Linked DNA regions of Rattus norvegicus. The protein of the gene in region 1 purifies or fractionates together with the protein of each later gene. This does not show direct contact. Links are inferred from orthologs where the notes say so. Each region holds a gene or a part of one and is shown on either strand. Other genes may lie near its edges.

The links.
Region 2: the proteins of Rfc5 (region 1) and Atad5 purify together in Homo sapiens (affinity purification with mass spectrometry; 4 studies listed by BioGRID and IntAct, counting the BioPlex papers as one, with this or other methods). This does not show direct contact. The link is inferred for Rattus norvegicus from reciprocal best matches to the Homo sapiens genes RFC5 and ATAD5.

What each region holds. Positions count from the first base shown.
Region 1 is NC_086030.1:44,864,545-44,876,425, reverse strand, and holds the start of Rfc5 (replication factor C subunit 5), read right to left. Parts: upstream 8,105-11,881; 5' UTR 8,024-8,104; coding exon 7,965-8,023; intron 6,909-7,964; coding exon 6,844-6,908; intron 5,687-6,843; coding exon 5,550-5,686; intron 4,658-5,549; coding exon 4,578-4,657; intron 3,788-4,577; coding exon 3,714-3,787; intron 2,735-3,713; coding exon 2,575-2,734; intron 2,031-2,574; coding exon 1,949-2,030; intron 1,647-1,948; coding exon 1,517-1,646; intron 1,045-1,516; coding exon 967-1,044; intron 41-966; coding exon 1-40. UniProt on the Homo sapiens protein: Subunit of the replication factor C (RFC) complex which acts during elongation of primed DNA templates by DNA polymerases delta and epsilon, and is necessary for ATP-dependent loading of proliferating cell nuclear antigen (PCNA) onto primed DNA.
Region 2 is NC_086028.1:65,564,279-65,576,160, reverse strand, and holds the start of Atad5 (ATPase family AAA domain-containing protein 5), read right to left. Parts: upstream 7,592-11,882; 5' UTR 7,188-7,591; coding exon 7,122-7,187; intron 3,114-7,121; coding exon 1,219-3,113; intron 1-1,218. UniProt on the Homo sapiens protein: Has an important role in DNA replication and in maintaining genome integrity during replication stress.

The DNA.
Region 1 (11,881 bases):
TTGGTCAATAAATGCATCCGAACTGAAGACGGAAAGTCAACTGAGGGAAAAACAGAATCTAATGAGCAGGATCCCCCCGCACACAGGACTTTTGACAAGCATGAGCATCCCTCCGACCCACTGCATGTAGGTCACCAGACCGATGAACTGAGCCCGGTGTAGGCCCCACTGCTTTCTAGCACACACAGGCTGGGGTGCAGCTCAGGACGAGATGAGTTCCATCACACACACACACACACACACACACACACACACACAGCCCCATCCCAAGCAGCCTCAGACCCTATCCATTGGAGGTGGCAGAAAGCTCACTAACCAGGTTCACTAACCAGGTAAACTAACCAGAAGGCTCATGTTACCCAGAGGACAAACTTAAGCAACAGAGTCCACACAGGCTCACAGTCCTGGGACCTGAGAGCCTCTCCATTTGGGGGTGGCTGCTGGGAGAAAAGGCTATGTGGAGGAGCCCCTAGGGCCTCTTCCAAAGGCTGACATCCCCTTGCCTCATCCTGAATGGTCTGGGGTGATTCCCAGGTTCTGCCCATGCTGAGACTGATCGCTGAAACAAGGCAGTAAACAGGAGCAGAAAGGCAGCTTCCTGGAGGCTGCCTAGTTTACAGGAGCACACAGGTGACTTCCAAGTGTCTGGGTGCAGACCCCAGAAGCAAGGGTGTGGATACAGCCCTGTGGTAGATTACATGCTTCACATGTACAAGGCCCTGGATTCAGTCCCTGGCATGGGGAGCATGTAACAAGAATGAAAGATACAGTACTTCCTATCCAAAAAGTCCCCTTTAGGAAAAAGCCTCTATGCAGCTCCAGGTATTAAAAAGGGGCTGCAACAAAGCCATTCAGAACCGCTCAAGATTAAGGATCAGTCACCCTCTTCCTGTTTCTGCTCAAGAGCTAAGACCTTATGCTCTCTGTGGCCATCCCAAAGCTGTGCCTCCTATCCAGCCCAGTTACCTCTGTGCACAAACAAGTGAACCTCTGTCAAGATGTCGTGCAGTGCCAAGCCCTTCAGAGTCTTCAGCTCCATGATATCTAGGGAAAAGCAGCTAAGGTGAGAGGAACCATTCCAGAACATGCTGTGGGGAGGCTTCAACAGCAGACCCTGGAGGCCGACCTGGAAATAGGGGTCTTCATCCCAGTAGCTGTACACAGGTCCAATTCTAACTTGACCCGTTACCTTCAATAAGGCTTTTCTACACAGTACAGCCCTATTCCTCAGACAGCAGAGCAGACCTCTCTTTGAAGGGTCACACAGCCACCTGTAGCTTTCATTTAACTGCAGAACAAGGTCATGAGTCCATTTAACTGCCGTGAACGGAGAAGCTACATACAGCCTCACTCACTTGGGCTGGAGCCATTGAGGAGAAGGGCTCTCTGCTTGGGGATACCTGCTTCCCATCAGCTGACACCTGTCACCCGGCAGGTATAGGTGCTGGCTGTAGCCTGGGCTTCGAGCCCCCCGCACCCCAGGCCTGAACCTGGCAACAGTCACCAAAAAGGATACTTTTGTAGGCAGTGGTGAAGTCTTGATTCAGCATCCAGTCTAGAATATTGGCAATATCCGTCTTGAGTGGGTGCCCGGTGCAGGTGTAGACAGTCTCCTCTGTCACCTTCCCAAAGGCCATATTGGTACTCTGCAGGAGGAGGGGGTCCAGGGACTGTCAGCAGCTGTCCTGCCAGTGACATGACACAGGCCCAGGACAGTGGGGAGGGCTGCCCTCCACTGTGAATGCTGCCCCATGCAGTAGAGCTGCAGCGTCCTCCCATAGCTTAGAGCAGCACCGGGACTTCCCATTAGAGCGCACAGGCAGAGCTGGTGCACGACAAGGAGAATCTTAATAGGTTTCTGAATGAATGTGTGGATCAGCTGGCTGTCTTTCTTAGAAAACTATTTTGAAGCAATGGTTTGAAGAACCTGCAGTGTGACTGATCATACCTGCAGAATGTTCAAAGCCCTTCGCATGTCCCCACTGGACAGAGTGACAAGGGCCTTCATTCCATCTTCACTTATGTCCACGCTAAAAGGAAATGGGTAAGAGTTAACTGAAGCTGTCTGCAAAGAGCAAAATTTCATCAACCGTATGATCCTTGAGTGACGAAGCTTTAAAAGAAGGAAAACATCAAAACGGAGGTGACAGGACTCTCCTGAACATCTGAGTTACTGCAGTGCTTAGGGACGTGTGTCACATGAGTAGCTGGATCCAGCCAGAGCTTTACTATGGACCAAGGCTTTAAGGAGGTGGCTGCTGAAAGAGACATTTCTGGGAAGAGGCCACTGCTCGGTATCTGACGGCCCAGAGTGGATCTCAGAGCAGAGCCTTCCCTTCCAGCCAGCTGGCAGCATCTGCAAAAAGGGACTCAGCAACAGTCAGTTCCCAAGACAAAACAGAGGGAACAGCCTGCAGGAATGTAGGTGTGGAACCAAGGGTTCAGGAGACAGACTATCCAGGGCCCACAGGAGATGGCAGTAGCCAACACTCCCTCCGATTAGCCACTCTGCCCAACCTCCCTGCCACTCAAATCCCCACACCTCCCCTCTTCCTTCTTCTAAAACAAACTCACTTCTCTTCTTGTACCACATGTTCTAGCCGAGGAACCATGAGCTCAGGCGTCAGAGGGCCAAATCGGAACCTCGTGCACCGTGACTGCAAGGCAGGGATGATCTTGGACAGGTAGTTACAGATGAGGCAAAACCTGGTGTTTTCAGTGAACTTCTCAATCACTGGGAGAGAAACCAAACACTTCACATAAGAGGACCCAGGGAAGCTTAAGGATACTGAGAGTGAGAACGTGGCCTGTGGGGGTAGAGGGTATTATGGGACATGAGCAACAGTTCAGCTCAGCCCCCATCCTGTGTAGCTCTCAGTGTATATGGAGCTCACGCTGGGCTCAGACTCCAGGTGACCCACCTGCCCCCATCTCTGGAGTGCGTGGACTCGGTCCAGTGTGAGTCAGCACGCCCAACTTGCACAGCTAGGACACGCACCATCAGAGCGCACAAATGCACCTTTTTATCACCTCCACAATTCTAGCACTCTTCCTCAAGATCTGGCCCCCCGTCCAAGAGCTCCCATCCCTCTGTACAAGATGCTGTCTGAGGTTGTTGAGACCCACCTTGTCTGAGCTGACTCTGCACACTTCCCTGCAGCCCATGTCTGAAAGTCTAGGAGCATTCAGGGAGCAAGAGCCAGCAGCACGGAGAGACCAGTGTCCCCACACAGATCTGCCCACACCGAGTCACTCAGCAGAACAAGATGCTGAAGGAAGGGTGCCAACACGCTAGAACCAGAACACATCCTGCTCCCCTCTCCCAGGTCTCATTTTTCCAGGCTCCTGAAGCTGTTCTTCCCTCCCAGCAGTGTTAGCAGGAGCTGCACACAACGGGTCTTCAACAGGATGGCACCAGCCCTACTCCACAGGAAAACACAGGACTCACCCCATACCATGGTCACCCCTGCACTCAGTCTTTCCTGGTGTTAGCTTTTACCAAAGACAGAGGATCTGCCAGTGGATAAGGGATTTAAGCCTTATTTCCACTGAATGACAGAGGCCACCCATCTTGAGGGTGCTGAAGGGGACCTACCTACAGGGCAGTCTTGTCTGAATCACTGGACTAAATGGTGCCTCCTGATGGAAAGGTCACATGTACCCAGAATTCCCGGCCTCAGTTCACTCAGTTCAGATGGGGCAGCAAATCTCACCTCGTCTCAAGGCATTCTGGGCATCTTGAGTCATGGCGTCAGCTTCGTCCAGGATCACAAGCTTAAACCCTCTCCTAGGAGAACAAAGGCATGTGGAGGTGTCCTCAGCTTCCTTCCACACCAGGCTGAATCTCCATCTTCACACTCAGGCTACCCCAAGTCCATCCTTCTCAGATCCCGATGTAGGCTGATAGCTGAGGCATTCACGCTTGCCAATCACGCTTTCATCCTTTAGAAGTGACAGCTAATTCCACCCTGAGGTGTTAGCCTTCCTTACCCACCGTATCCTGTGTCAGCTGCTCGCTTGTGGGGCAGGACTGAAACCCAGGGATGTGAGTAGGCCATGCACAAACATCCCATGGCTATGCACACACCCAAGCCTATTTAGCACTGTGTGCGCATGTGTGAGAGAGAGTATGTAAGTATCACGTCACACCACAAATATGGAGGTCATAGGATGACTTGAGGGAATCAGTTCTCCCTTTTCCCATGTGGGTCCTAGGAATCGAACTCGGGGTCATCAGACTGGGTAGCAAGTGCTTTAGCCTACTGAACCGTCTCATCACCCTCTTCCTTGCCTAACTGACCACCATGTAAGTCATACTTCCTGATCACTTATCCCTGTTTAAGTTCAGACCAGCTCATCCAGCATTGGATGTGATTGTCCAGCTAAGGACCCATGTGGAGCCAAAGGCTCTTGGAATCTTCAAGCATTTCCACCTCTCCAGCCACTGAACTGGTCCCTGCTTCTGACCAAGTCGCCCCTTCTTCCCTTTCACACCAGCCAAGGGGGGCCCAAACAGTGAAGCTGTGTCCCAGCCCTGCACTAACTGCGGGGAGAGAAATTCTACAAATAATTCTCACTTGAAGATTGTCCTTGTGCTGGCAAAGCTGAGGATTGGCCCCCGGACAATATCGATCCCTCGGTCGTCGGAAGCATTCAGCTGCACAAGGAAGAGAGGATGCCGTCACAATCACACTGTGTGGCAGCCAGTGTCATCCAGCCATTCAGATCTAATGACAGCTAAGATACAGTCATCAAAAACGAATGCCCTGGACTCAGCCTCACGTGCCATCACACATCATCCTAAAAGGCACAGTCCTCCTCCTCCAAGGAGCATCCACATAAATACAGGAAATAAAACCCTGAACCAGGAAATCTGCCACCAGCCACTGATGCTAATTTAAGCCCTCACTGCCTGGAGGCTGCTGTGCTTTGAAAAAGCTGGAGAAAGAAGAGTGGCCAGCAAGGGGTTGAGCCTCAGATCTACTGCCTAAGTCAAATGCCTTCCTCTTGATTGAGGGTCTTTTGTCTTTGAGTTGGCCTTGAACTCACATAGCCTAAGTTGACCGTAAACTTCTGACCCTCCTGCCTCCAACTCCTGTGTGCTGGGATTATAGGTACACAACCTGTTTGTTATGCTGGGATCAAACCCAGGACCTTGTGCATGACTTACATCCCCAGTCCCTCAAATGCTTTTCTTTCAAATACCACGATTAGGTTTCTGTAACCTAAGGGTATTAAAGTTGTCAGCCAAGGCCCCAACAATCCACAGATGGCATGTCTCAGTGCAGTAATCTGAGAAGATCCAGATGAAGAGACATTTTTAAAGGTGTTTGTAGAGCAGTGGTTCTCAACCTGTGGGTCTTGACCCCTGGGGCTGGTGTCGATTGACACCCCCCAAACCACCCTCTCCCATCCCCAACACACACACACACACACACACACACACACAAGATCCCACTCGCCAAACCCAACCAGGTCAGGGAGTGAAAAAGGACCAAAGGTGAGTGTCCGAAGGTCTGAGCTTTTGTGGAGTGAGAGTGTCTCCTCACCTCCAAGACCATGGAGCCGAATTCTTTATCTTTGTACAGTTGCTTGGCACAGGCCAGAATGGTGGATGTCTTTCCTGTGCCTGGAGGGCCATAGAGAAGTAGGTGTGGCAAGCGGTCTTCACTGATGAACTTCTGAACTGCAGGACAGGAAGAAGCAATGACACACGTCAGTCTCTGGGTCCTGCATGCTCACCTTAGCACCTGTTTAAGCTACATCCAGACGTGCTTCAGTTCTTCAGTGACCCAGTCAGAGCAGACAGGGAGGGAATGTCCTGGAGTCAGACCACGGTTTGTCTGTCTGTCTCTCTATCTCAGGAGGGTCTAGAAAGTTGAGAGCAATGGTTCTCAACCTGTGAGTCTTGACCCTTTTAGGAGCTACATATCACACACATATCCTGCATATCAAACATTTACAATTTATAACAGTAAATAGCAGAATTCCATTTATTAAGTAGCAATGAAATAATTTTATGGTTGGGGAGTCACCACAACACAAGGAACTGCATTAAAAGGGTCACATCTTTAGGAAGGTTGAGAATCACTGGTTTAGAGGCACAGCCTCATTGGAGGAATCAGGCCACCAAACACATGCGTTTGAGGTTCATACTGACCTCCATTCCCCACCTTCACCCCTACCCCCGCTTAGCTCTCTACTTCCTGTCTACTATGGAGCAGAATGCCCCCACTGCCATGAAGTTGTGCTCACCAAGGGTCTAGAGTCAACAGAGCCAAGCACGGTGGACCAGAACCTCTGAACCCATAAGGCAAAGTCAGTCATCTCTCCTCTCTGTTGTCGTCTTGGGGATGGGGGAGTTGACAAGGTGCCTCAGCTAAGCCGGGTGCTCTTGCAGAGGACCTGGTTTTGGTTCCTAGCACCTACAGGGCAGCTCACAATAGCCTACAACTCCAGTTCCAGAGGATCCTGGGCCCTCACCTGGCCTCTGAAGAAACCAGGCACACATGGAGCACACACTTACAATAAAAACAAACCAATCGGGGTTGGGGATTTAGCTCAGTGGTAGAGCGCTTGCCTAGGAAGCGCAAGGCCCTGGGTTCGGTCCCCAGCTCCGAAAAAAAGAACCAAAAAAAAAAAAAAAAAAAACCAAAACAAACAAACCAATCTTTAAAAATGTGTCCTCTTAGATATTTTGGTGCACTATGGAGAAGGAAACACACAGCCCATTCTATAAAGCACAGTCCATCCTTAAGTGTCATCCAGCAGGGACAGCGTCTTCACGAAATGGACCCAAACCCTCCCGCCAGGACAACAACAGCAGCAGACACAGGTACTCACTGGTACTCAGGATGTCCTGGTGAGATATGAGATCGGCCAGAGTCTGTGGCCGGTACTTCTCAACCCTGAAAAAGGATTCACCATGCGTTACAGTTTATACGCCAAGAGTCATGGGTTCTGTTACATGCAAAGAAGCCCTTCACGTCCTAGCAGCAGAGGAAGAGAAACCCTTCACGTCTGAACAGAGTCAGTGGCACTCACAACCAAGAGCTGTTCAGTTACCACGAGACATCTGTCAGGCCGGTTAGCTGTAATAACTGCAGAGGGTCTTAGTGGCCTCTTTTGAGGAGAGGTCAGGAGGTTGCTGAACATCCTCCAGTGGGCAAGACAGCTCCCTGTTGCTCCACACCAACAGTGCCCCCGCCCCCAAGACAACAGCGCTGAGACTGCACAGCTTCAGTTAGGCATCGACTCATACTCAAATACCCACAAGCAAGTGAAGGGCAATACACTTGGGATTTGGCTTTCAAGCGGGAACTGAGTGCTGAACCATGCTACCGAAAAGAACAACCCTGAGTTCCAGAAGTCACACTCAAAAGACCACACCGTCTGTAACTCCACTCCTGAGAATTTAACGTGTGATCCAAGGCAATTCTTCCTCCTCAGTAGAGACCAGAAAAACTGAAAAGAAAGCATGGCTGGGCAGGCTTTGTTTAAAACACCGCTAAACTGCTGTAAGGTCTATCAGTATGCAAACTCTGGGGCCTTGGAGTGGATCCCGGGAATCCATGCCAGTAAAAGGAAAGAACTGGGTCCTGCAAGTTATCCTCACCGCCACAAAGGTGCGCTGCTACGGTCCCTTCCCCCGCAAATAAGAGGGAGAGAATGCAAGCGCTGAATTCGAACACGAGTTCGAATCCTAGCCTACCCACTCCTCCGGTCTCTGAACCATTCTAAAGAAACCCAGGATCCATCTGTTAGGGTCATCAGAGCGCAATGGCGATGCTCGAGGCACTTGAGGATGGCTGAGCTGAACTCAGGCATAAGATCACAGACAGTTCGGTTTGGAAGCGGAGGGGCGGCTTGCGGCGCAAAGGCTAGGTATCCGGCCGGGAGCGGGAGGGGGACATGCAAAGCTCCTAGGAAGAAGGGAGGGAAGCAGGATGCGGGGCCGCTCCTACCAGGGCAGGTTCCGGGCCCGGGCCGCCCGGGGCTGCTGCTGCGAAGGCGCCGCCGCCATGACTGACAGATGCTGCAGGGACCGGCCACCGAACCACTGGACTCGGAGTCCGCGCGCAAACCAACCCTCGCGAGTCTTCGCCTCCGGCTTCCGGCTTCCGGCTTCCGGCTTCCGGCCCCAGCCCCGCCTCCTCCCGGTTGCTAAGGTGCTGGTTGCTAGGTAACCGGAGTCGCGGGCCTGCAGCCAGGTTAGGGCCTGAGCCGGCAGTCTTAGGCTTTCAGGAAGACTAGAGACGCAGCACACTACAGCTAGACTTACCACAGGCCTCACCAGGACCGGATCCTGCCAGCGCAAGGGGCAAGCCGCAAAGGGGCAGCGAGTTCCGGAGCCAGAAACACTTCTGAGGCTGGGGTGTGGTCAGCGCACCCTTGGTTCCATAACCAGCAACACGCACACACAGTCACACACACAGTTACATATACAGATATACATCTACATACATTCCCATTCGCGGACACTCACACACTTACATACAAACATATACGTTTGCACTCACACATATACACATATGTATACACAAATACACAGTTGATATGCACACATACACACGCATACATATATACTCACATCATACACATGTATAATACATATCTACACACAGAACATATTCAGACATATACACATAAGTACACACAGTTACATATAGACACATACATGTATACATATAACACATTCATAAATATACACACAGACATCTCTGTTTTATACACACACACACACACACACACACACTTTCTCCTACAGTGAGAGGATCACAGACCAATTTTTTATTTATTTATTTATTTATTTATTTATTTATATGTATTTATTTTTGAGACAGGGTTTCTCTCTGTAGTTTTGGCTGCCCTGGAACTCGCTCTGTAGATCAGGCAAGCCTCAAACTCAGAGATCCACCTGCACTTCTACATCCCAAGTGCTGGGATTAAAAGAGAGCTCCACTTACCTGGCGACCAATTTTATTTTCCTCTTTTTTTTTTTTAAAGATTTATTTATTTAATATATCTGACTACAGGGGTTGGGGATTTAGCTCAGTGGTAGAGCGCTTGCCTAGCAAGCGCAAGGCCCTGGGTTTGGTCCCCAGCTCCGAAAAAAAGAAAAAAGAAAAAGAAAAAAGAAAAAAATATATCTGAGTACAGTGTAGCTGTCTTCAGACACACCAGAAGAGGGCATCACTTCCCATTAAGATGGTTATAAGCCACCATGTGGTTGCTGGGAATTGAACTCAGGACCTCTGGAAGAGCAGTCGGTGCTCTTAACCGCTGAACCATCTCTCCAGCCCTTATTTTCCTCTTTAAGTTTTACTTTGATCCAGGTTCACCTTCAATTCTAGTACTTGGGAAGCAGAGGCAGGTGGATCTCTGTGAGTTTAAGGCCTAGAGAGTGGGTTCTAGGACAACTAGAGCAATAGAGAGAGACCCTGACTTCAAATAAATCAAAAGAAAATTAATTTTAATTAATTTGTGTGTGCCATGATCCACAGTAGAGGCCAAAAAAACAATTGTCAGGAGTGGGTCTTTTTTATGTGTGGCTCCTGGGAACAGAACTTAGCAGTCAAGCATGGCCGCTTGAATGGCAAGGTCACCCTTGACTACCTATCCAGTTCATGGCCAGCCTCTTGGTGTACTTAACTACCCTTAGAGCCAAGCAGCCGCCATCTTGTGGAGTTCAGCTGTGTCCACTTACAAAAGAATTACCCCAGCAGGACGTTTTGGCCGTTTGCATCCCCTCATGGAAGACCCGTACCTGAGTATCCAGTGGCTTCCTACAATTTATCGTGTGCAGCTCTGCCGTAACTGCACATGGCTTGACTGGAGAGCAGAGCGGGTAGGGGGCACCAGAGTATTCAGACTAAGAAAGACTAGGAGAGGGGATTTAGCTCAGTGGTAGAGCGCTTGCCTAGCAAGCGCAAGGCCCTGGTTCTTCAGCTCCGGGTTAAAAAAGAAAAAAAAAAAAAAGACAAAATAAGAAAGACTAGGAGAGAGGTGTCTACCTGTGCAGCTGTGGGAAAACCCTCACCCTGCTGGTTAAATCCTTTCTGATACCATCATGGAAGGAAGGAGCGTCACTCTCCTGCAGGGATCGGGTGTTGCTCCAGGGATGCTCCCCCTGTAGGCTAACTTGAATGAATACTGGCTCCTCAGATCATTAACAAGTCACTTCCCTTACTTGGTTCAGGGACAATTTCGATGATACCTTCTCTCTAGCAAGCACCAGACCCAGTGCCACAGCGCACTCCACCAATATCTACTCAGGGATGGCTGCAAGGACTCAACACAGCGACAGAGCTAACACATTGGGGGAACGCGCCACACTCCCTCCCTGCCCACCTTTTCCTTCTTCTGTATTTTTTTCATCTCAAAGAAAACTTCGGACTAGAGAGACAGTTCAGGGGTTAAGAGCACTGGCTGCTTTTCCAGAGGTCCTGAGTTCAATTCCCAGCACCCACAAGATGGCTCACAACCATCTGTAATGGTATCTGGCGCCACCTTCTGGCATGCAGGTGTACATGCAGGCAGAACACTGTATACATAAGAAATAAATCTTTAAAAAAAGAAAGAAAACTTCAAGGGTTGGTGTGGCGGTTTCAATGAGAAAGGCCCCTATAGACTCATCAATTCCAATACCTTGTCCCCAGTTGGTGGGACTGTTTGGGAAGGATGAAGAGGCGTGGTTATCTTCCTTTTCCATTGCTACAAAGAAAAACCATGCCAAGTCAACTATCGTAAGAAAGCATGAGACATGCCCCATGCGGCATATACTGCCAAATGTCTCAATACTTTCCTATTGCGCTAGGAGACACCACGACTAAGACAACTTATAGAAGAAAAAATTTATCGGGAGCTTAGCTCTCAGAGGGCTGGTTATCAACATGGGGGCTTGTTTACAGTTTTCAGAGGGTGACCCCATGGCAGCAGGCAGAAGCTGAGAGCTTGCATTTGAGACACCAACCATGAGTGGGGGTCGGGGAGAGCAAGCTAACTGGGAATGAATGATGTGAGCTTTTGCAACCTCAAAGCCCACGTCCCACCACACACCTCCGCCAACATGGCCACACTGAAGTGGAAACTTCTGGTTTCTTTGGAAAGGTAGTTATGTTAAATGATGTTTTGCTGGGGCACACAGGTGGAAGGGTGTCTCGCTCAAGCAGGCACGTGAAAGAATGTTTTGCTGATACAGACACAGGTGAGAGGATGTTTGGATACAGCAAACACGGTGAAAGGATCCATGATTAAGAGGCATAAATTTGACCCCGCAGACACTGGGAGACGAGCACTGAACTTTGGATTGGTTTGCTCAGCCTCACTGTCCTTCGTTAACGACACACAGACACGTATGTATTGGCTCGCCCTACATAGGGGTTGTTGAGCTCAACTTATGGTAACGCTGCCATCCTGAGAAACTCGCTCGTGAGGCTCCTGAGGCAGCTTGCTGCTTCAGCCGCCTCACCTCAGGCCGGTTGGCGAGCCTTTCTGTTTCTTCAGGACTGAAATACAGCTGCTGCTGGTTTGTGCCTGGTGTCTACCTGCCTAGAGGATTGGTCTGCAGCCTCTGGGTCCTATTTGGTAACTGCTATGGGAAACACCCCAAGGAACTATGGCTGAACGGGTCCACTTCCCCCACATCCTACTAAGTTTTCTTTTACTGTCTTTGCTGGGTGGTGGGCTAAAGGAGAGGTCGAACCCTTATTTAAAGTAGGTTGCAAGAAACTGTATGCCTACACCACACCTTCTAATCCTTCCCAAAGCCTGCTCTGGCACCATGCCTGTCTGCTGCCACACTCTGTATTATGACAACCAGCCCTCTGAGAGCTAAGCTCCCAATCAATTCTTCCTTCTATAAGTTGTCTTAGTCATGGTG
Region 2 (11,882 bases), on another chromosome or scaffold:
GTGACACACACTCACAATTCAAGCATTTAGGAACCAGACAAAAGGTCACTAATGAATTCAAGGCCAGCCTTAGCTCTATAGCAAGTTCCAGACCATCCAAGAGAGACCCTGTCTCAAAAAAACAAAGAGGGATGGAGGAAAGAAAGGAGAATGAAAGGGACAGAGAAAGGAGAGAGAAAAGCAAAGAGAAGAAAATGAGCCTGCCTAGTATTAGCCCCACTCAGCATAGCAAAAACAGAAATAAAAAGAGAATAATACACCTTGAAGAATATTAAAACTTGTCCCCAATCGCTGTAACATTAGGCAAGGCCAGTGCGCCAGAACTCCTCGTCTACTGGTCAGTTTACCTAAGGAGTAACACTCAGCTGGCTGTGCTGGTGCTTGTCTTTAATTCCAGCACCCTGACCGCAAAGGCATGGGATCAATTTGAGTTGGACAGAGAGTTCCAGGACAGCCAGAGGTACACAGAGACACCCTGCTTCAAAACAGTAATAAAAAATGTTAGGATTTATTTTTAATATCATATTTGATGAATTCATACCTGAGGACTATTTCTCCAAGGATTATCAATTATGACAAATAAGAGTTTAGAATTCAACTGAAATCTATCTGCAAATCTTCTGAAATGGACTTTAAATTAGCTATATTGTGGTGATACACACCAGGAATCCCAGCACTTGGAAGAGGATTTGAGTCCTAGACTAATTTTGTATATAGCAAGAACATGTCTGAATAGACATTAAAGTTGTGTGCAATGACTCACACAAGATATCCCAGCACTCAGGAAGCTGGAGCAGAACGATTGCTATAAGTTTGAAAACATTCTATGCTACATAGTGAGTTCTAGGCCAGCCTGGGCTACAGAGTACAACCCTATCTCAAAACAAAAGCCAGGTTTGGTAGCTCAGGTCTGTCATCCCAGCTACTTGGGAAGAGTACAGAGAGGGATAATGTGTTTAAGGTCTGGTGGAAAATCAGAACCACTCTCAGTAACCTATGAACTTTGCCTCAAAATGAAAAGAGGATATGGATGTGGTTCAGTGATAGACCATTTGCCTAACCTATGAGAGCCAATCCTCAGAGCTGTATACACATAAAAAATTATTTACAAATAAATTGTATTCTAGAAAATAAATGAACTCTGCAGTGCTTGAAGAATTTTCCTTCCCAATTAATAATACATGTAGAATGCTCCAACTTGAGAAAACAAAATTTTACCTAATGGGGCTCTCGGAATCAGAGGATATTATTATTAATTCTGCTGTATACAGGCTGGGCTTTTCTGATATTCTGGCTGCTTTTGGAGTGGAAGCCTTCACTGGATCAGTGTCCTGGGCATCCTCAGACTCAGTACCTCCCAGGGTGACCGTGGTAGGTGTACTGCTACCTCTCAGAGATCTCCTGGTTGGTTTGGGTGTGGAGACATTCACCAGCCCGCTTCCAGGCTCAGCTTTGCCGTGTGTGACCATATCCCTGGTTGGTGTGCTGCCTCTTCTTGATTTATTTCTGTCACACAGAGACGGTTTTACAGAGTCACGTGCCGTATCCTCAGAAACAAGATTTTCACTGTTGAGTAATGCACTGCTTTTGAAAACTTCTGATTTCTGTCTTACACTCCTCCGTAGGGTATTTTGATCTTGATTATCTTTTAAGGAAAAGGCTGTTTTTTCCTTTTGCATGTTTTCTTCTCTGTTTCCAGCTGCGGTGGTCCGAGTTTTCTTACCCTTTTTATTTGGCCTTTTACTTTTCTCCTTAGGAAAACCTCCTCTATCAGCGTGTGCCTGTGAACAGTCTTGATTTGAAACTCTTTGAATATTAGGATTTTCTATGATTTTTTCAGAATTGCTATCTCCTTCATTGACAGATTTTTCACTTGGATCTTTCTGCTTCTCCAAAGGTTTCTTGAGTCCATTTCTGAGCGTTTCCGACGGTGGCTGCCTGAATGCTCTCATGAACTGCTGTCTTTCTTCCATGCTGCACTTTGGTACTGAAGCCTCAGAGCTCCAAGCTTCCAGCACAGCCAGTTCCAATTGGCCCTCCTGGACCACAACATTAGATTTCCTTTTCTGAACTGTCTGCTCATTTTCTGGATCAGAGAAACTATTCTCCAGCTCAAGCTGTTTCTGTTTCAAGAAGATTGGGGGTATTTTCCTTTTCTTTTTAGGGGGAGTAGGATGAACTTGTGCAAGAACAGTAACTGTCTTAAGGTGTAGGTGTGGAGATGGTTCACAGCTTTCTGGTTCACCTTCAGAACCACTTTTGATAGCCTCGCTGGGCCCCGAAGGAACGCAGGCTGGTCCTGCCAGGTCAGGTATGTCTTCCACTTTAGCTGTCTTGTGACTTTTTAAAAATTCCTCATAGGAAACAGTAATTGTGCTCTCGTTTAAATCAGCTATTTTAGTCGCATGAGCCCTGGAGTCTACATGATGTGCAGTCCTGTTTTCATCAGTTAGGGAAGCTTTAGTCAGCCTGCTGTCTTTGCCACCTTCCCCTGGCAGACTTATTTCATCTGCTACGAGTACACTTTCAGACTGGTCCGTCCCCTGGCTATGCTTCCTTTTCCTCAATGTCTTTCCATCATTTTTTGTGGTGCCTTGTTTAGGATTTACTTTCTTAGAGTTTTTTTTGGAGGTCATAGTATTTGACTGGTTTCTGCTGTCTTCTTGAATACTTTCTGCAAGAGCTTCCACATGTTTCTTGTAAAGGAAAACAGAAGTACTGTTTTCCACAAAATCACTTAAACCACAGTCCTCCTTACTATCATCATTACTAATTTCAACTGGAGACTCATTCTCAATTTTGACATCATTCAGTTGATGGGATAAACTAACTCTCTTTCTTTTCTTCTTAGATTCTCTATTTGAGAACACTTCCAATGGTATCTTACAGTCTTTGCTGTTGCCAACAAGCAATGGGGGAGATGGCTTTAACTTGCACTCCTTTGTAGATTGTAGCTTCTCAGTTGTGGGTGAGGTCTTTCTAAAATAATGTAGAATATTATTGGGTTTCGATGGAGAGAAAACCTTGTCTTCAGTCTTCCCTATTGGTGATAAATATTTGGTAATTGTTTCGCAGGAAGAGCTGTCATCATCTTTTCTCCGCTTTCTGCATGGCTAGCAATTTAAGGGGGAAAAAGCCACAATTTATTTCAAGTAAAACAATATGAAATATGAGCTGTAAACACAGATTTAACAGTTTAAACTGGGTAGAAAAACTACAGAAGGCTACGTTGTGTATACATGTGAGGTGTGTGTGATACACTCCAGCATACATGTATGTGAGGATGCATGCAGAGGCTGGCAGAGAATGTCAGGTATCCTGTAATGTCACTTCAGCCTTATTCCCTTAAGACAAGTCCCTAATTACACCTGGAGCTAGGCTGGTGGCCAGCAGGTCTCAGCAACCCTCCTGGTTTTGCTTCCCCACAATCCCAGGGATAAAAGCCATACCTGACCTTTGCTAGGGATTTTAACTCAGGTCATTAAACTTGTACATGAAGTATTCTTGCCCACTAAGCTATCTCCTAGCAGAGAGGGCTACTTTTACAGATGTCTAGGAATTCGAGGCCAGCCTGGTCTACATAGCAAGCTCTAGGCCAGTAAATATAGTGAGTCTCTGGCTTTAAAAAAAAAAAGGGGGGGGGTTGGGGATTTAGCTCAGCGGTAGAGCGCTTGCCTAGCAAGCACAAGGCCCTGGGTTCGGTCCCCAGCTCCGAAAAAAAGAAAAAAAAAAAAAGCTTATATTCGAACAAAGCTAAACTCACAAGAAAACATAAATTCCTACTGTCTTCTATTTTATTTTACTTTATTTATTTCATTTATTTCTATACTTTTGAGACAGAACCCTTCTATGTATATCTGGCTGTCCTGAAATTCACTATATAGACCAGGCTGTCCTCAAACTTGGAGATCTGCCTCCCAAATGGTGAGACTAAAGGTTTACCTGTATTCACAACCTTAAAAGTGCACCATATACCTCACAGACGCCATAATACATAAAAGTATGTGGAAGCTAATGCAAGGTAGGGAACCTACCAACAACCCCTTCTGCTTTACTTTTTTGGTTAAAAATATACATATCATTCTAAGTATCTCTAAGAAATAGTAATTTACTTAAGAAGCCCTGGATGCTAAAATATTATTCTACTAGAACTCATGGTAAAAAGATAATCAAAGAACATTTGCCACGAGTCTACCATTTTAATTTTTACCATAATCCACTGCCTACCTCCTGCACTAGCCATCACCCTCACAGAATCAAGGTGGTTATGACACTAAGGATAGTCATGTTTATGTTAATCACTTTCAGTCAGCAATGATACTTGCACTCAGTCATGTTAAGCAGAGATTATCATGAGCCCAAGTATAGCTGATGATACTCAGCAAGACACTGGCTGCTAGGAGAGAGCATAAGGCTCAAAATAGGAAATCATGAACCCCAGGAGATACTATCAAAAACAAACGTCCTCTTCATCGTAGTAACTAAGGTTGGGGAGAATAACTGCCTAGGCATGTACACAACCCCAGATTTGATGCCCACCAGGCATGGTGGACACCTGCAGTCCCAGCACTGAGGAGATAGCCTTAGGAGGATCAGAAGGTCAAGGTGAACTTAGTGAGTTTGAGGCCGGGCTACATGATATACTATTTGGGGGAAAATGAAGAAAGCCCCAAAACCCTCATGTCATAATATGGATCAACACATACATTCAATGCTGTTCTCTGTGGCTCTAGAGCAAAACTGGTGAATACTGAATCTGACTAGGGCTCATCGAGCTGCTGGTTCACTAACAACAGTGATCCCATTTTTTTTTTCTTTTTTCTTTTTTCTTCAGAGCTGGGGACCGAACCCAGGGCCTTGCGCTTGCTACCACTGAGCTAAATCCCCAACCCCTCCCATTTTTGATTGTACATGTATCTTACAAAGGTTTAATGGGTTTACAGGTGATATGAATTGTGAAACATGTGGGGTAGCACAGGGAAAATTAACTTGCCTTATTTCCTGTGGTCTACATTTGTTTTCTTGACTATGTGTAAATGGTATGAATCAGCCTTGCTACTACACTAAGAAAATATCTTACTGTTCTGAATTTACCAGATTAGAATTTCTAAGCCGGTTCTTAGAAGGACATTATTTCTCATTTCATTTCTATGTGTACTGTAGGCTTAAGTATAAACAAAGGCGGGCATGGTGACTCATTTCTATAGTCCTGGTACCCTGGAAGGTGAGGCAGGAGGACTACAATGAACCTAGGTTGTACTCCTGGATTACAGGATGAGAGCTCAAACAAGTCTAAATAATATACTTATAAAGACCTGTAAACCTGGTCTAGAAATTCACTAAATTAAGCAAATATGTTGTGGTGGTGGTTCGAATAAGAATGGCTCCCATAGGCTCATATATTGAATTATTGGTTTTTGGGGTTTTTGTTGTTGTTGTTTTGTTCTTTGAGACAGTTTCTCTGTGTAGCCCCAGCTGTCCTGGAACTCTCCGTAGACCAGGTTGGCCTCAAATTAAGAGATTCACTGGCCTTCTCATCCCACAAGTTGTCCTCTGATCTTCATACATATGCTGACCCCTGCACACACAATAAATTAAATGTAACAAAATAATTTTATGGGGTAAAAAGAATTTGTAAGGGGTAAAAATAACACTCAAAATAACGGGCAGGGGTAAGAAAGGATAGTGGGACAAACAGACCATTTAGACAAATGAGGTTAAAATTAAATATGTTGAAATAATAAGTGAATTAAAATGAATTATTATCATCTATAAAGCTTTGAGACGGTATCAGAGGCACCACACGACAGACACTCATGTAGGATCTAAGTTCAAGTACCAGCCGACATCTACTGGTATGGAAATCTTAAGCAAATTACTTTTTTAAAAAAATATATACTCAAGTTAATAAAGATTATATATATGTATATATACATATATACACATATGTATACACACATATATATGTATACATATAAGATATACATATATATATATCTTGATCAACTAGGTGTGAATGATGCATGCCTGTGATCCCAGAACAAGCAAGCTAAGGTAGGTAGATGATGAATTTGAGATCAGCCTGGCCGTGCTACACAGTAAATAATGTAAGTATTCTGTAGTTGAAAAAAGTTACTTGATTATAAAAATTATCAGAATCTGAGCTGGAGAGATGGCTCAGAGGTTAAGAGCACTGACTGCTCTTCCAGAGGTCCTGGGTTCAATTCCTAGCAACCACATGGTGGCTCACAACCATCTGTAATGAGATCTGTTGCCCTCTTCTGGTGTGTCTGAAGACGGCTACAGTGTACTCATATAAATAAACGAATCTTTAAAAGTCAGAATGTAAGTGAATACACATCTTAACTCACTTTAAGGGCACCAGAACACATCAAATGCTAGCCCGAGCTATAGTGTATAAACCATAGCAGCTATGAAGAGGCACAAGCCTGTAATGGTGACAGGAGAAAAAGTAGGTCAGGGATGTACTTTAAGATCCTAAAAATTACTTCTAAATGGCATAGAATATCGTTATGGTTGCTTAGTGTGTTTTTCTTTCTTTCTCAGAATCCCAGGGCTTCCTACCTTAAGCACTGTCCTAGTTTTGAGTATTCTCTAAAACGTGGTAAATACTGAACACCTAACATGCCACAGAGACTCTTAACCACATTACATTAAGTTCTGCAGTCACAAGAAACTGTCATAAGTTTCTTACTTGATTCCATTAAGTGACATTCTAAATGGAATTCCTAGGACAGGTATATTTATATTTGTAGGGAATAGCTGAACTTAAAGCTTCATCTTTTTCGCCGTTCTGTAACCCGACATCATCACGAACAAAGAAAGTGGCCCTGAAATCCTTGGTGACATGCTATTCCAAACGAACGTTTCAGGACCTGGGAACTGTGATTTTTCAAATTCTGACTTAACAGCGAGCCCGAAAATATCTTAAAATTCCAACGCTTTTGAAAGAGCTTTAAAAGTCACACCGAGGCAACTATCCCACATACAATTTTAACTGTAGGTCATCGTGTTCCTCCTTTCTCGTCCCAGAAGCAAGGACTCCCGCCAGCCCCATACCACAATTCCCAAACACGGGCAGAAAGGAACTTGACAGATACCTCAATCTCGCAGTCCTTAACAGGAGGGGGTGCTGCAGCCGCCGCCATGGTCAGGACCCCCACCATGATCCCTGCCACCTAGAACCCGAGCTCCTAGGACCTCCAGCGGTCCGGCTCAACCTGGCTGGAGGCCATAGGGGCGGCAAGTCCAGTGGGAGCTGGCTGCGAACCGCGGAGCCCGTTTCGGGTCTCTTAGAGACCACCGGCCGGAGCCGAGTGTGAGGTTGGGCCCAGGGTGGTCGAGCCAGGCTCAGACAGAGATGTCGGGAAAGCCCGGGCACAGGCCCCAAGGAGGCGGCCGGACAATACACAATGCCTCCCCAGCCTGATGCTCCAGGCTAAGAGCTCGAGCCCCAGGCCGCACTGGAAGCCGCACACCGAACGCAGGTCAAACAGTGGGGCTTCGGCGGGAGTTCTTGTCAATTGGGTTTTCGCGCCGTCCGGCACGCAAGGGGCGGAGCCTACGACCGCTATTGGAGGCTGCGCAGACGGTGAGCCGCGAAGGCCAAACTACTTCTTTTGGCGAATCTGCGCGCTATAGCACCAGTTCTAGCTTAGAAATCTAGTTGAATTTTAGGGATTCGCATTTCGATGTTACAGTTTGACAATTGAAAACGTGTTTTGTCTAAGGTTACCTAATCATTTGGTGGCCCAACTAAAACTTAGACTTTAGCCATTCTTAAATTATGTTTTTGAAGCCAGGAAGTGTTTGTGAATTGGGGATGAAGAAGCATATATCTCTAAGTTTGAGGCCAGCCTACACAGAAAGTTCCACTTCAGCCAAGAGACTCTGTCTTATAGATAGATGATTAGATAGATAGATAGATAGATAGATAGATAGATAGATAGATAGATGGATGGATGGATGGATGGATGGATGGATGGATAGATAGATAGATAGATAGATAGATAGATAGATAGATAGATAGAAGTTAAAAAGAGGGGTTGGGGATTTAGCTCAGTGGTGGAACGCTTGCCTAGCAAGCTCAAGGCCCTGGGTTCGGGCCTCAGCTCCGGAAAAAAAAAAAAAGAAGAAGTTAAAAAGAGCTAGAGGAGCCAGGCAACAGTGGCACATTCACTCCATTAATTCCAGCACTCTGGAGTTACCAGAGGAGACAGGCAGATCTCGGAGTTCGAGACTAGCCTGGTATACAGAGAGAATTCCAGGGCAGTCAGGGCTACACAGAAAAACCCTATCTAGAAAAACCTAAAAAAGGATAAAAAGAGGTAGTCGAAAAACACCTCATGCTGACCTCTATACACTGCATGTATGTACACCTTCACTAACACACAGGAACATATTATACATATCACATACACAAATACATTTTTTGTGGGTTTGTTGTTTTGTTGTTGTTGTTGTTTCGAGACAGGGTTCCTCTATGTAGTCCTGGAACTCACACTATATTAATATTTTTTAATTTTTGAAAATATTTATTTCATTTTATGCGAATGAGTGTTTTGCCTACATGTATGTGTATATATACCATGTGTGTGCCGATAATTGTGGAGAAGACATTGAATTCCCTGGAGTTCCAGGCAGTTATGAGCTACCATTGTAGGTGTTGGAAAACAAACCGAGGTCTTCTGCAAGAGCAACAAGGCCCTTTAGAGCTGAGTCATCTCTCAGCCCTCAGATGTGGAAGACATGTGCTGTACTACTGAGCTATATTCCCAGCCCACAATTTAGCCATTATAAACAGTACTTGTAAAAGCCTGCTACAGTGGTTAAAGACTTAAGTGCTCCATAACACCATCTATGATAGTACCTTTCCTTTTACCAGATAGGCTAATAAACACGCTACGGCATAACCATACAATGGATCCTTCTCAAGAATAAAAAGAAATGAGGGACAAGGAGGTAGAGTACCTACTGTTGATGAGGGGATGGAATCAATCCTGAGCACTCCCAAAAAGTAAAACTAAATAAAAAGCCAAGCATGGGGCAGGGGGTTACAGAGATGGCTGAGCAGTTAAGAGCTCTGGCTCCTTTTAGAGGACCCAGGTTCTTTTAGCAGCACCCACATGGTGGCACACAATTGTCCACATCTCCAGCTCTGAGAGATCCATCACTTTCTTCTGGTCTCTGTGGCACCAGGCAAACACACAGCGAAGAGACATATATGCAGCTAAAACATTCACCTATATAAGATAAAAACAAATAATCTTTAAAAACAAAAACAGAGACGGGAGAGATGGCTCAGCGGTTAAGAGCCCTGGCTACTCTTCCAGAGGTCCTGAGTTCAAATCCCAGCAACCACATGGTGGCTCACAACCATCTGTAATGGAATCTGAAGCCCTCTTCTGTTGTGTCTGAAGACAGAACACTCATGTACATAAACAAACAAATATATTAAAACAAAATAAAGGAAAACAAACAAAAGCCAAGAAACAAGTAAGGGGCTCCCGGAGAGATGACTCAGCCAGTGGATAAGAGTGCACACTGCGGGGTTTGGGATTTAGCTCAGTGGTAAAGCGCTTGCCTAGCAAGCACAAGGCCCTGGGTTCGGTCCCCAGCTCCAAAAAAAAAAAGAAAAAAGAAAAAAGAAAAGAAAAAAAGAAAAGAAAAGAAAAGGAGTAAAAGAGTGCACACTGCTCCTGCAGACAACCTAAGTTTGGTTGCCAGCACCTAAGTCAGGTAGCTTAAAACAACCCTTAATTCCAGCTCCGGGAGATCTGGTGCCCGGTTCTGAATTTCACAGGTATTCACACACACACACACACACACACACACACACACACACACACACACACACACACACACAACTATACACATAATTTAAAGAGAAATAAAGGGCTAGAGAGATGGCTCAGTGGTTAAGCGCTCCGACTGCTCTTCCAGAGGTCCTGAGTTCAATTCCCAGCAACCACGTGGTGGCTCACAACCATCTGTAATGGGATCTGATGCCCTCTTCTGGTGTGTCTGAAGACAGCTACAGCGTACTTACATATAATAAATAAAATAAATTTTAAAAAAAGAAAAAAAGAGAAATAAGAATAAGAGCAAATAAGTAAACTGTCACTGTTGTGGAGAAGCGTCACAGTGGCTCAGAGAGCTTGAGGCACAATCATGAAAACTGGAGTTTCCATCCTGGCACCTATGGAACGACCTGGGCATTGTGTGTATGGCTGGAATGCCAACTCTGAGACCAGCAGAGACAGGAGGACAATGGTGCCTGGCCTCCAGCCTAACTGAGAAACCCTGAGTCCAGGCAGGTTCATGGCTACTCACAACCATGGGTAACTCCAGGCCTAAGAGTTCTGATGCTCTTTTCTGACTTCCATAGGCACTGCATGAGTGGGGTGCGCAAACGTGCATGCAGGAAAAAGATGCCTATATGCCTATATATATACATATATATACATATATATATGTGTATATACACACACACACACACACACACACACACACACATATATAAACACATTTGTCTGGAGTTAACTGGATATACTGGCATACACCTGTAATCATAGCACTTAGGAAGTAGAGATGAAAGTTCAGAAGTTCAAGATTATTCTTCACTGCACAGTATGTTTAAAGCTAGCCTGGGCTACTTGAAACCCTATCTCAAAACAAAAACACAAGCAAAACACAAACAAAACATTATATCTGGGCTCTTCTAACCTGAATTCCTCAGGCATCTTCAGATGGTAGTTAGCCCAGTGGTTCCTCGCTGCAGATTAAGCTGCAGCTTCCTTCTGTTGACACGGGCACTTACACCTCTTTCATCTACCTCCCAATTTCCAACCATTTCCAGGCCCCGCTGGTAGTCTTTTGTGCCCCTTCATTTGCCAGTGTTTCTCCTGTTCCTTATTCTAACATTAAGTTACTTTACTATTATTTAACAGATTTTTGGAAAGAAAAGAAGAAAAAGACAGACAGCCAACCCCAAAAGGAGCACAAGATCTAGCTTTGGGGTTACTTTCTCTAAGGAAACCTCTGTACGTCTACTTTGCCTTGGTCAAAATCCTGTGGTTTAAATTTAAGGTTTCTGAGCTTCCATTGTACCTGATGCATTAGGTTACACATTTCCACTTAGGTATGTGCTGTCACGGCTGGACTGTGAAAGCAAGCAGAGGGCCCTTACTGTTTTTGTTCCCAGTTGCTTTTTTAAAATTTATTTATTTATTTATTATATATGAATACACCGTAGCTGTCTTCAAACATACCAGAAGAGGACATAAGATCTCATTACAGATGGTTGTAGTTGCTGGGAATTGAACTCAGGACTTCTGGAAGAGCTCTCAGTGCCCTTAACCACTGAGCCATCTCTCCAGCCCCCCAGTTGCTCTTTAAATATTCTGTATATGAGTGTGTGCTGTGTGTGCTTTTGCACAGCCATATAATCCAGCCTTTACAAGTAAGCACCTTGATATTTTCTTTCCTGATGATCAGTTTAAAGGAGAAGCTAAAGCTTAGAGATGTTTACTTTCAGTGGTTGGCTTTCTGTTTGTTTTTGGTTTTTTTGTGGCAAGGTCTTTGTAGCCCTGGCTGTCCTGAAAGTTGCTCTGTAGATCAGTATACATCCCCCTGCCTCTGACTCCTGAGTGTGGGAATTAAAGGTGTGTGCCACCATGACCAGCTATTTAAATTCTTTTTTTTTTCTTTTCTTTTTTTTTTTTTTTGGGGGGGGGGGAGCTGGGGACCGAACCCAGGGCCTTGAGCTTGCTAGGCAAGCGTTCTACCACTGAGCTAAATCCCCAACCCCTATTTAAATTCTTTAAAAGACTTTTTTTGTTACAATTCTTTTGGGGGGGTGG